2 linked regions of the Sus scrofa genome follow. The protein of the gene in region 1 purifies or fractionates together with the protein of each later gene. This does not show direct contact. Links are inferred from orthologs where the notes say so. Each region holds a gene or a part of one and is shown on either strand. Other genes may lie near its edges.

Evidence for each region.
Region 2: the proteins of PAG1 (region 1) and FYN purify together in Homo sapiens (co-immunoprecipitation; 3 studies listed by BioGRID and IntAct, with this or other methods). This does not show direct contact. The link is inferred for Sus scrofa from reciprocal best matches to the Homo sapiens genes PAG1 and FYN.

What each region holds. Positions count from the first base shown.
Region 1 is NC_010446.5:55,606,784-55,612,423, forward strand, and holds part of PAG1 (phosphoprotein associated with glycosphingolipid-enriched microdomains 1), read left to right. Parts: intron 1-3,989; coding exon 3,990-4,358; 3' UTR 4,359-5,640. UniProt on the Homo sapiens protein: Negatively regulates TCR (T-cell antigen receptor)-mediated signaling in T-cells and FCER1 (high affinity immunoglobulin epsilon receptor)-mediated signaling in mast cells.
Region 2 is NC_010443.5:77,638,851-77,644,961, forward strand, and holds the start of FYN (tyrosine-protein kinase Fyn), read right to left. Parts: upstream 3,493-6,111; coding exon 3,246-3,492; intron 1-3,245. UniProt on the Homo sapiens protein: Non-receptor tyrosine-protein kinase that plays a role in many biological processes including regulation of cell growth and survival, cell adhesion, integrin-mediated signaling, cytoskeletal remodeling, cell motility, immune response and axon guidance.

The DNA.
Region 1 (5,640 bases):
TTCTACTGATGAATGCTTAACACAGAATAAAGAACGGTGATTCCCACATACTCATTTTAAGAAGATTTAGGAAGAATGAATATGGAAATTGTTTATTTTTATATTCATGTAATGTAACAGTATACAGTCCAGACTAAAAATGAGACTTGAATTTTAAGTACTATTATCCCAATTTAATAAAATGATGGGGAAATGGTTGATTACAAAAAGAAAGGAAATGAGGAAAAGGGAGTAATTTATGAGCACCTAGTAACAACTTTAGACTGAATAATAATGAAGATTTTAAGGAGAAAAATTGGCATATGTACAGGAGGTATATGGAATGACTGGCCAATGGGGACCTGCCATATAACACAGAGAACCCTACCCAGTATTTTGTGATAAACTATGTGGGGAAAGAATCTGAGAAAAAATGGATGTGTGTATGTGTATAACTGAATCACTTTGTTATACAGCAGAAATTTTCACATTGTAAATCAACTCTTCAATAAAACTTTAAAAATGAAAAAAAAAGAAAAATTGGAAAATTAAATGGCAAAGAGGCTTGAAGAGAAACCTATTTCAGAATAAAAATAATAGTCGTAGAAGACAAATATTTAAAAGGAATATCAGAAGACTTGAAAAACGATTAGAGTTAAAATTTACAAAGACACCCTCTGCACATTCGGTTCGTGTCCAGAGGTAATGTTAAGTTGCAAGTTAAAGAAAGAGCCTGTAATTTAAAAAAAAAAAAAAAGTAAAATAAAATAAAATAGGAGTTCCTACTGTGGCACAGCCGGATCGGTGGCATCTCTGGAATGCTGGCACCCAGGTTCGCTTCCAGGCCTGGCACAGTGGGTTAAGGATCTGACATTGCTACAACTGTGGCTTGAATCTGATCCCTAGCCCGGAAACTTCAAATGCCATGGGGTGGCCAAAAAAAGAAAAAGAAAAATTAATAAATAAAATTAAAAAGGCTGTAAATGCCAAGAGACCCAACAAGTAGGAGGCATTAATAGCAGAAACCATGGGGAGGAAAGTAGAGAAGAGAAACAGAAACCAGAAACGGTAGAGAGGGACCCACTCTTGTTTCCCTCGTAGGTAAAGGTGTGTTTGTCGTCTTTGATGTTACCCCTGAAAGTAGGAATAAAAATGAGATGCTGGCTACCCTCTCACAGTCATCCATGACTTACCCTTTTATAATCTGTCCACATTTTTGGCTTGAACCACCTTTTAAATAAAACTTTCCATATGTTTTCATCTCACTATGAAAAGTGGAGGTTTTTTTATTTTATTATTAGTCCTAAATTGAAAGAAATTCTCATTCTTCATTTTGAAGGTCATTTTTTCATGGAAAACCTCTAAGGTGAGAAGGTTAATTTGATAGTCATGAAAATGGTCTGATCAACAGGGCAAGAGTTTCCCAAAAATTATTTCTCTGACTGGAAACCTTTGGCTGGTGAAGGCCTGGCAAATCTGAGCCACCAGCCTGTAGTGAAAAGTTCTCATGCAAATGACCAGTTAACATGCATCAGGCGTGACTTAAGAAGCTTCGGAGGCCAGCTGGAAGCTTCCTCCGCAGTATGTGAAACGTGTGAGAGCAGGACAGTCTCTGCACTTGCAAAGCCAAGCATCTGTCAGCAAGTATGTTCACTTATTTCCTGGGTGTTGGAATAAACCAATGGCTACGGCAAAGATAAATACAGGTAACGAAGGATATTTTTACTTCCTTCCAACCATGATTTCTAACAATAAAACAGTATCCCCTCAGAGTCTCAGTCCATTTATTTTTATTACCAAAGAAAATAAAATCTCTCCCGATATGAGTGCTATATGAGATTTATTAGGGAGACTGAGTAGGTAGGTGTGCTTGGAAAACAGCCTTCTCTTCCCTCAGGAAGGAGGGGTCCCAATGAAAAACATTTAGCCTTGCTTGTAAATGTCTATTTAACCAACAGTATGCAGTGAAATTTTTTTAAAAGTAGTAGAGCAGTAGAAAATGATTCTCTGACAGATGTATGTATATTGGCAACCGGAATCCAGGAACTACTCTTTTGAACCATTGTGATACAGGAAAAGTGTATCAAATCATCTAGTTCAGAGTTTCTCACACTTCATTGGACATCAGAATCAGCCCTTGTGAGTCCCACCCCCAGAGTGTGTGATTCTGTGGTTCTGGGGTGGGACACCAGAATTTGCCTTGCAAATAGATTTCCAGATCCTGCCGCTGCTGGTTTGAACCCCCACTATTGAAAATCACTAGTCTAGTATATGTTTTCTACCCTTTTTGGTAAAATATCATTCTTTTTTTATGATTAAAGTATGGTTGATTTACAGTGTTTCTTCAGTTTCTGTTGAACAGCAAAAGAAAAAAACAAAAACCTGATGCTGCTGGTCAGGTGCCTGGGGGGCTTGAGCTGCCTACTCTACCTGCTCTCCTCAGATCCCTCAGCAGACCTGGAGGGAATCTGATTTTCATGGAATGATGCTAATTGCCAAGTTGTAGATAGCACATGTAATTGTTCTTTAGTTTTGTACTTCAGGATTAGGACAAATAATGAAGGACCAACTTCTGGGTATATATTTGAAGGAAATGAAATCACTATCTGGAAGAGGTAACTGTAACCCATGTTCATTGCAGCACTATTCACAATAGCCAAGTCATTGTGTCCATTAATGAATGGATACAATGTAATTACAATAATGGAGTAATAAAGAAAATGTAATTTTTGTACACATGCACACATACATAGGTATACATAATTAATGGAATATTATTCAGCCATGAAAAAGAAAAACCCTGCCATTTGCAGCAACATGGGTGGACCTTAAGGACACTATTGAAATAAGTCAGACAGAAAAAGACAAATACTGGATGTTTTTTATTTATGTGGAATCTAAAAAAGCCAAACTCAACAAAATTTAGTGAAAATAAATAAATAAGCCAAATGCATAGAAATAGACCAGAATGGTGGTTGCCGCAGGCTGGGGAGTAGAAGAAATGGGAAAATGCTGGTCAAAAAGGGTCAAACTTCTATAAGTTCTATATATAATGTACAACATGGTGACTGGAATTGATAAGATTGTATTATATACTTTAAAGGTTTTATTTTTGTTTTTGTTTTTTGTCTTTTTAGGGCTGCACTCATGGCATATGAAAGTTCCCAGGCTAGGGGTCAAATCGGAGTTGCAGCTGCTGGCCTACACCACGACAACAGCAACATGGGATCTGAGTATATCTGTGACTACACCACAGCTCATGGCAATGCTGGAACCTTAACCTGCTGAGCAGGGCTAGGGATCAAACTTGAGTCCTCATGGAAACTAGTTGGGTTCATTACCACTGAGCCACTGAGGGAACTGCCTGTACTTGAAAGTTGTTAAGAAAATAAAGTTTAAATGTTCTTATCACCACGCACCAAAAAAAAAAAAAAAAAAAAAAAGGTAATTGCAGTAATGGAGTTAACTAACCTTCTTGTGGTAATCATTGCACAGTACTTCACAGTATGTGTATCAGACCAGCCTCCTGTATACCTGAACCTCACATGTGTTAAATGTCAGTAAGAACTCAATAAAGCCTGGGAAGAATCAGAAAAAAAATCTTAGAGTTCCCATTGTGGCTCAATGGTAATGAACCCAACTAGTATCCATGAGGACTCAGGTTCAATCCCTGGCCCTGCTCAGTGTGTTAAAGACCTAGTGTGTTGCTGTGAGCTGTGGTGTAGGTTTCAGATTTGGCTCAGATCTGGCGTTGCTGTGGCTGTGGCATAGGCCAGCAAGCGACAGCTCCGATTAGACCCCTAGCCTGGGAACTTCCATATGCTTCGGATGCAGCCCTAATAGGGGAAAAAAAAAAATCTTAAAGGGACACACACACTCACACATTCCCCCCGCCCCCCAATAATGCTTAAGACTCTAGTTTGTCATTAAAAAGGGGGCGGGAGGGGGAGGGAGAAATCAAGCTTGAAGCTTCTTTATCACTTCCCACCTGTTTTTTTTTTTTTTTCCAGATCTCAGCCATGTACTCATCAGTAAATAAACAAGGACAGTCAGGGAACAAATCGGGACAGTCACTTAAAGCACTGGAATCCACCTACACCTCCATCCAAGTGGCTGCTCAGAGGTCGCCCTCCTCCTGTAACGACCTCTATGCTACAGTTAAAGACTTTGAGAAAACCCCAAACAGCGTCAGCACACTCCCAGCAGCAGGGAGGCCCAGCGAGGAGCCGGAGCCGGATTATGAAGCAATACAGACTCTTAACAGAGAGGAAGAAAAGGCCGCCCCGGAGACCAGCAGTCACCGCAGCCTTTGCCCAAAGGAGAATGACTACGAGAGCATCGGGGACTTGCAGCAAAGCCGGGACATCACCAGGCTCTAGCAGCCAGACTGGAGGATGGCTCAGCCAGCGTAGGACCAGCTGTCGGGGACAGTGCCGCTGCAGAAAAGAAGCGACGTCAGCCACTCCTTATATGCTGCTTTAGGAAACGGAAACGATTGGAGACTCCAGAGCTGCTTGTCAGTTTGGGGAACAGTGAAGGTACATACCCTGCTGCCAGGCCCTGGCACACCCCAGCACACTGCCCTTCCCGCCCCCGCTCCTTCTGGAAGGATCTCAGCTGTCAGCAGCCTCGCCCTGTTCATGAAGGAACCTTTGCAGTGCGGAAGAAGGGCTCTCATCACAAACCACAGCTCACCTCCCTGAAACACTGCCATTCTCCGGAGCTGGGGTTCCCTTTTGGCTCTCTGCTCCTAATGGTAAAATGAATGGCTTTTTCCCCCCCTGGAAATCTGATTTATAATGGTTCTCTCCAAGGATGTTCTCCCGCAAGGCTGGGCCTTGGCCTTCAGCACAGGTGTTTGACAGTGGTGAGAAACTGCGGTTGTGGTTTGTCAGCTCCCCGCCCCCCTCAAAGGGCTGCAGCTGGGAATCGGAGCCCAGCGGCTGGGGGCTGCGATGGGGGGGACACCGCTTGAGTTCCTTCGCGCTTCATTCCTTCTGATTTTGGCACTCCATGTGTGCAGCCTCTCCCAGAGTACTTGAAGTCATTTTTAGATGCTTTATTTTATTTTTATAGTCAAAATGTTTTGGTCCCCCTGTATTTGAAAGCCTTCAGAGCCTTTTCAGTATTTTCAGTGAATACTATGGTACTTCTGTACTTGTTTTAGCCCAGAGCTCACTGCTCCAAAACAGAGAGCCTTAATCTCTATCTTGGGACACAGACCACACATTTGGCTGGCAGCCACTGCATCCATCTCCCCAGGGCTTTGGACTTGAATGTGTACTTCTGATGATCTCTGCTGCCACACCAAAACGGAGTGGAATTTCCTAAAGGAACTGCTACCCTAAGGTAATCTATCTGAGATTAAAATATAAACATTTATTTTTCTTACATAAATTTATAAGGTATTTTATGTTTAACGCCTAATTTCTAGAAAGTGCCAGATAAAAATGTATATTAACTACTTTGATTTTTATGTACAATGATTTATATTGTCATTTTGAAAAGACACCATAAAGCACATAAGCTGGATAATTTCAAGTGGCTGTTACCTTTTTTCTTACCAAGTGTTTAAAACATGGAAAGTTTTTAAAGACTCAGTTTTTCAAATGGTACTTGGAGCCTCCTGGTCAAAATCGTCTGGCTCCCTGAAGAAATAAG
Region 2 (6,111 bases), on another chromosome or scaffold:
AATCACAGTCCTTGCCCTTCCTCAGACCTTCCCTGTGACTTCTCATCTGTCAGATGCCTCATAGAGGCCGGTCCTGCTGTGCAGAGGTTTGCTATCGACAGTGAGGAATATCCAGTGCCCTGCCTGGCCTAGGACTTGCTCCATGTCATCGGCGGAATTCTAAGACAGCCCTTGGTGACATCCACCTCCCAGGATCCCTTCACTCAAGTGTGGGCTGAACACGGTAATTTGCCTCTAACCAAGAGAACGTGGCACAGGTGACGGGATGTCCTGCAAGGGATAGGCTTCCACTTCCAAAGACGGTGACTTCTGTCTTCCGCCAGACTCTTCTGCACTGCTGCTTGGGCTTGATCACACTGATGAAGCAAACTGCCAGGCTGGCCAGGCCCACATGACAAAGAACTCAGGGTGGCCTCTGGCCAGCAGCCAATGAGGAGCTGAGTCCTGCAAACACCCCATGAACCTGGCAGCAGATCCTTCTCAGAGGAACAGTAAGAGGACTGCAGCCTGGCCAACGCACCTTGACTGCGGCCTGGGAGAGCTTCTGAAACAGAGAAACCTGCCGAGTCATCCCTGGACCTCAGACCCACACGAACGGCAGGGTAATAGATGTGTTTTCCTTTTGAAGCTGCTACGCTTTGTGATTGTTTGTTGTGCAGCCATTAATAACGAATACACCCCATTTTTCTACGTTCTGGCTTCTCACTTTGATCTCCCTGCACCCCGAAGTGCCTCATGTGGCTGAAGAACGCCTGCTGTGGGTTCTGCTCTTCATCAAGCTCCCGTTCTGCTACGTTGGGAGCTCCAAGGGAACGGATGTGCCCAGGGACTGTTCCAGACCTGGAGGGGGAAGCAGGGCTTGCGCCCCCCAACCCCAAGTGGGCCTTCCTGCGGAGGGCTGGCACGCAGAAGGTCTGACCGTGCAGGGCGGCAGGGCTTGTTTGACAAAAATGCAAAACCTTTCAGAGATTTCTTTGAAAGATTAAAAAAGATTCTGGCTGAAAACAGAATGGGAGCCTGTGAGGCCATGCCCATCCTCATGAACACACTGTGAACAGACACCCTTCAGTTCAGAATCTAAAAACAATTCCAAGCCCCGTGGTGTGGAAGACAAGGGGCATGCGGACAATACCAGCCCTCGCCCACGTCTCCCTGCAGCAGCCAGCAGGTCCTCACTGGGGGTTTTTATCCTCTAGGGCTGGAGGGGGAGGCAAAGGAGGCTGCAGGGAGACACAGACACTGCTCCTGGCCTTAAAGCACTGAAAACAGCATGAAGGAGAAAGGCATGCACATGTGTTCAAGCCAAATAACCCAGGCAGAAACATCCACCAGCATTTGGGGGGGTCTTGTTTCGGCTTTCACACGTTCTAAGGAATCAGATGCCCTCTTGTACGAACATTGTCCCTGACTGTGTTACAGACCCACGTTCAACCGAGGAGTCCTCTCTAGTGACTTTATGAACAATACCTGCAGACACAGGATTCATGTCGAGCATTTGTGCATGAACGCACAAGGTCAGTGCCTGTGTCAGCAGAATCGGAGTCTGGCTGGCAAAGCACTTGTTTTCTCCCAACAGGCACAGTGTGGTCTGGGTGCATTTCTGGCTTTTTTCCCCTCCTGCATCCTCCAGAGACAAACGTCCCTAGACTGCTGGGCCGCCTCTTTCCTTCAGCCCTTCAGCCCAGGTGCCTCCCAGGAAGGCTGGAAGGATGAGGAGGAAGGGTGTCCAGGCCTCAGTCACCCTGCCACCCTTCAGGCCTGCTTTATAGGGACAGCTGGATGCATAATGCACCAGGATGCAAGGATGAACATAAACATTTTTTCTCCCAAGCAGTATGTGATGTGCTGGCAGAACAGAAGTAGTGAAATGCCTGAAGCTGTGGGTCAGGTCCCCTTGACAGAACCACACGGCTCTGTTGGGTGTAGAGGAAGAAAACCATTGCTGAGGACTCAGTAGTGGCAACTCCCCAGCTAAAAAGGCACAATGGGTCGTTATGGAGGACATCTGCTCCCACACAAGCTGAGAGCATAAGGGTTGATGTATATTTTTAAAAACTTTTGTAATAAATACACCAATTTTGGAACAAATAATGTCAAACATCTAGTTACCATGGTTCACATACTGGGAGAGGATCTGGAAGACTAAGGATGCATGAGATAACTTACAAATATTTCAGAAAACATATGTCTGAGAACACATGCCAGAGAGTTTCCAAAGTATTAGCTAAGTCAGCAAATGCACATGGCAGTGAAACACAGCCTTGGGAGAGAGAAGGAAATCTTAAAAGAAAAAAAAGAGAGAGACAGAAGATCCCTTAAGGATACATTAGATTTGATTTTAAAATACAAAAAAGATACATGAAAAATGGGGCTGATAAAGTCAGTCATGTGGAAGATGATGGGAAGAGCAGAGAACCCATGAAGGTGAACAGCCGAAGGACAACATGGCCAAATGGCCCCAGGACTCTGGAGGGATGGGCAGGCTGGGAGTTAGGAAGCGGAGAGGCAGAGCACCACCCTGAAATGCTCTGAATGGGACGGCGGGTGGGGGTGGGATTCAGGGAAGAAGTGCATTTGTCTGGAGAACTCAGAACATCCACGCTCAGATACAGTCCCAGGACCTCTGATTCCAAAGCCCTGGGGTTGGGACTCAGGCATCTGCATTTTGGAAAAGCCGCTCAGTTATTTGGAGGCAGCCAGCCAAGGCGCACCACCACTGGCCTCAAGGGCCTCAGCAGCAGGTTTTCTCCCGTAACCTCGAAGGATCTCAGAGGGCAGCAACTGGGGGCCCCCACACTACTGTTGCCAGCATCAAGATTTGTACACTGAGCTCTGGCTTTTTTGGGCGGAGGGTTAGATTTTTTTCTTTTTTATTAGCGTATAGTTGATTTACACTGTTGCATCACTTGTTGCTATACAGCAAAGTGACTCAGTCATATATATATACACTCTTTTTTCACGTTATCTTCCATCACGGTCTATCCTAGGAGACTGGATAGAGTTCCCTGTGCTGTACAGCAGGACCTCATTGCTTATCCATTCTAAATGTAATCCTTTGCATTGACCAACCCCAAACTCCCTGTCCATCCCACTTTCTCCCCCTTTCCCCTTGGCTCTGGCTTTTTTAACAGCCCCTTATCTGGCAGAGGCTGGAGAATGACTGAAAACATAAAACATTGAGTCCCTCATCAAAGGAACACAAATGTTCAACCGCCAGAAGACTTAAGGGGCAGCTGGGTTCTGACCTGTTCCTCCTCTCGTACGCAAGGTCCCAGTGTGAGACGAAGAGCTCACGCCCCCGAAGACGGTGAGTCCTTGGCCCCCGGCTGCATGGAAGTTGTTGTAGTTTGGGATGGAGGTCACGCCGAAGCTGGGGTAGTGCTGAGGAGTGGGGTCTGTGCCATAGCGGAAGCCGGAGCTCTGGTTCAGGCTGCCATCCCGCTCCTCCGTCAGTTTTGTTGCTTCTTTATCCTTACATTGCACACAGCCCATTATCTAAATTCCTGGTGAAAACAAACAAAAAAGACCCCATGAACCTGGACGCTCCCTCTTGGCTGGGTTGCTTGATGATTAAAGAGGAATCATTTACACAGCTCACCGTTGGGTATTTCAGACCTAGAGCAGCATGAAAAGCAGTGGCAAGGGTTGAGGGTCGGAAGCAATCTCAGTGCCCTGGACAATCAGTCATTCCCCACAGGCTCCCAGTGATGGGATCAGCCATGTTCACAGAGCAGCATCTTTCTTCAGAGGTCTGCACCCTTACTTACAATTCTGGAACGTCACACATCTGCCTAAAGACAGCCCACTCATTAGTCCTTAATAACTAACCTATTACGCTTTTCTCTAGTCATTTTAAAAAATAGTGTTTGCTCTCAAAACCGAGCCTATGCCATAGGCTCAGTGCCTCCTGCACCTGGCAAAGGAAATCTACAGAAGAGGGTCCAGGAGTACTGGGAAAGCTGGAATACGGCCCCTCAACAGCTCACTGCCCTGCATCCATGGAGACTCATTCTTCAGGCACACGTTTGATAAATTTTAAGCAATCAGATGAAGTATCAATAAAGAAATGATTGCTGGATGAAGAAATAACAACTGGCAGAAACTAAGAGGTCTGAGTATGTGTGCAGGCTGTCATGATAGCCTAGAGTAACAAAATCATTTAAACCTGCTAATTAATTTTCCTAATTTCCATTAGCTTTTGACATCTTTCAGAAACATTAAAAAAAATCTTTCTCATGTTCTAGAATTAGTGGTGAATTAAAACTTGAATCACTGTCACCCCACCCTCCTTGAGACCAAATCTACGTGTTTTGCGCCCATCTCAGTAAATGGGGCACCACCAATGGCCCATGCGTTCAAGTCAGAATCCTGAAAAGTGTCCTTACTGGCTCCTCTTTGTTGATGTCTGACTCTTCCTGTCTCACACTTTATTATCCAAACATGTCGAACTTCTCAACTCTTCAAAGGTCTATTCTTCCCACCAGACTTTAGTCCTCAGGATGTGGCTTTGAACACATTCCCCGCTTTGATATACAATATCCCTCATATCTTGGTCTAGACACTGCTTTCTCTACAAAGCCCCTGACATCCCCCAGGCTGGGGTGGAGCCCTTCCTAGGTGCTCCCACAGCATCTTGAGTTCCCTTATTACAGCCCCTATCTCGCCATGTTGAAACATGGCGGGTTCACTTGTCTTAATGCCCAATAGACTGGGAGCGCTGGGAAAGCAGGGCCCAGTCCATTTTTTGTCATAGGTATATTGCTGGTGCCTGGTGCACAGTAGGTGCTTAAAAAAAGAGCACGCAACTAAGTGAAGATTCCCTAATGTACTGTTTTTCTTTCACCTTTTCTTTCTCTCTGCGTCAAGGCCAACCCTTCTTCCAGGAGCTTTTTATCGGCAGTATGCCCTGTGTTTTTGAATCTATCGGTATGTGTGAGAAGTGAAGAAGATTCAAAAATAGAAGGTAAGTTGGTTAAATGATCCCACTTTGGAATACAATACCCTGTAAGACCCTGTCAAGCTGACAGTGGGGAGAGAGAACATGCAATGACTGTCCCTGCCAAAACTCTGAAAAGTGGCCCACTGGGGACCAAAGAACCAACTAAGAAACACATGACATCATGTAAAATTACACGTACTCACTGGGGAAGGCACAGCTGGTGCACGATGGGAAAGGACTTGAGGTGGTGGAGGGGAATGAAAGAGCCAGTTTTTCTATCATACCTTGCCAACCAAAATGGGGGTGCCACATCAGATATGGAGACTCTCGGGAGTGCTATTCTGAGCACTGCTCACTGGGGTCACAGAAGCCCACGTTTACTGCATGTTTCAATAAATACTTATTGAATTACATGTTAGTTCCTAAGGATGGAAACGTCTGGAATTGAGCCGCGTGCTGCTTGAGCTGAGCTCACCAAAGCTGGAACACATTTATGTGTAAGTCATTCCAGATTAATTTACAGTGTACTGTGTCTGACTTGCTCTCTAGTTTATGGTAAATGGATACAATTTTAACAAGTTTCCAATAGGAAATGCAAAATATCTCCAAGGCATGACTGGAGGAGTTGCATCATTTGCTGTTGGGACTGCTTCATAAGACTTGCTTTATATTAACTCTTTCCTGGTGGAAAGTTGCCCTCAAGCTCCTTCAAAGGCCAACAGCAGATACTGCTTGTCTCAGGTGCTTTTTTCAGGGATTGCACTGACCTGCTGTAATCAGGGGTCATGAGACCTGAATCACAGAATCATATCATTTATGGGTCTCAGCTGGGGGTGACTTGGCTGCCCCTCCCACCAAGGGACATACTGATTGTCACAGCTTGAGGGTAAGGGGTACTGTTGGCATCAGTGGGAACAGACCAAGGAAGCTGCTAAACATCCTAAGCTGAACAGAACAGCCTCTAACAACGAAGAACTACCTAGTCCCAAATGTGGGTGGGTCAAGGTCAAGAAATCTAGATTTAAGAAGAGGAAAGAATTTATAGTTATAGTTTAGAAACAGGGTAGGCACTGTTACCCTTATATGTATATGACTGACATGCAATCCGGAATGCCTTCCTTGAAGAATAGGCAGGCAAGGTAGAAAAAGGCAATTTTAAAAACTGACATAAA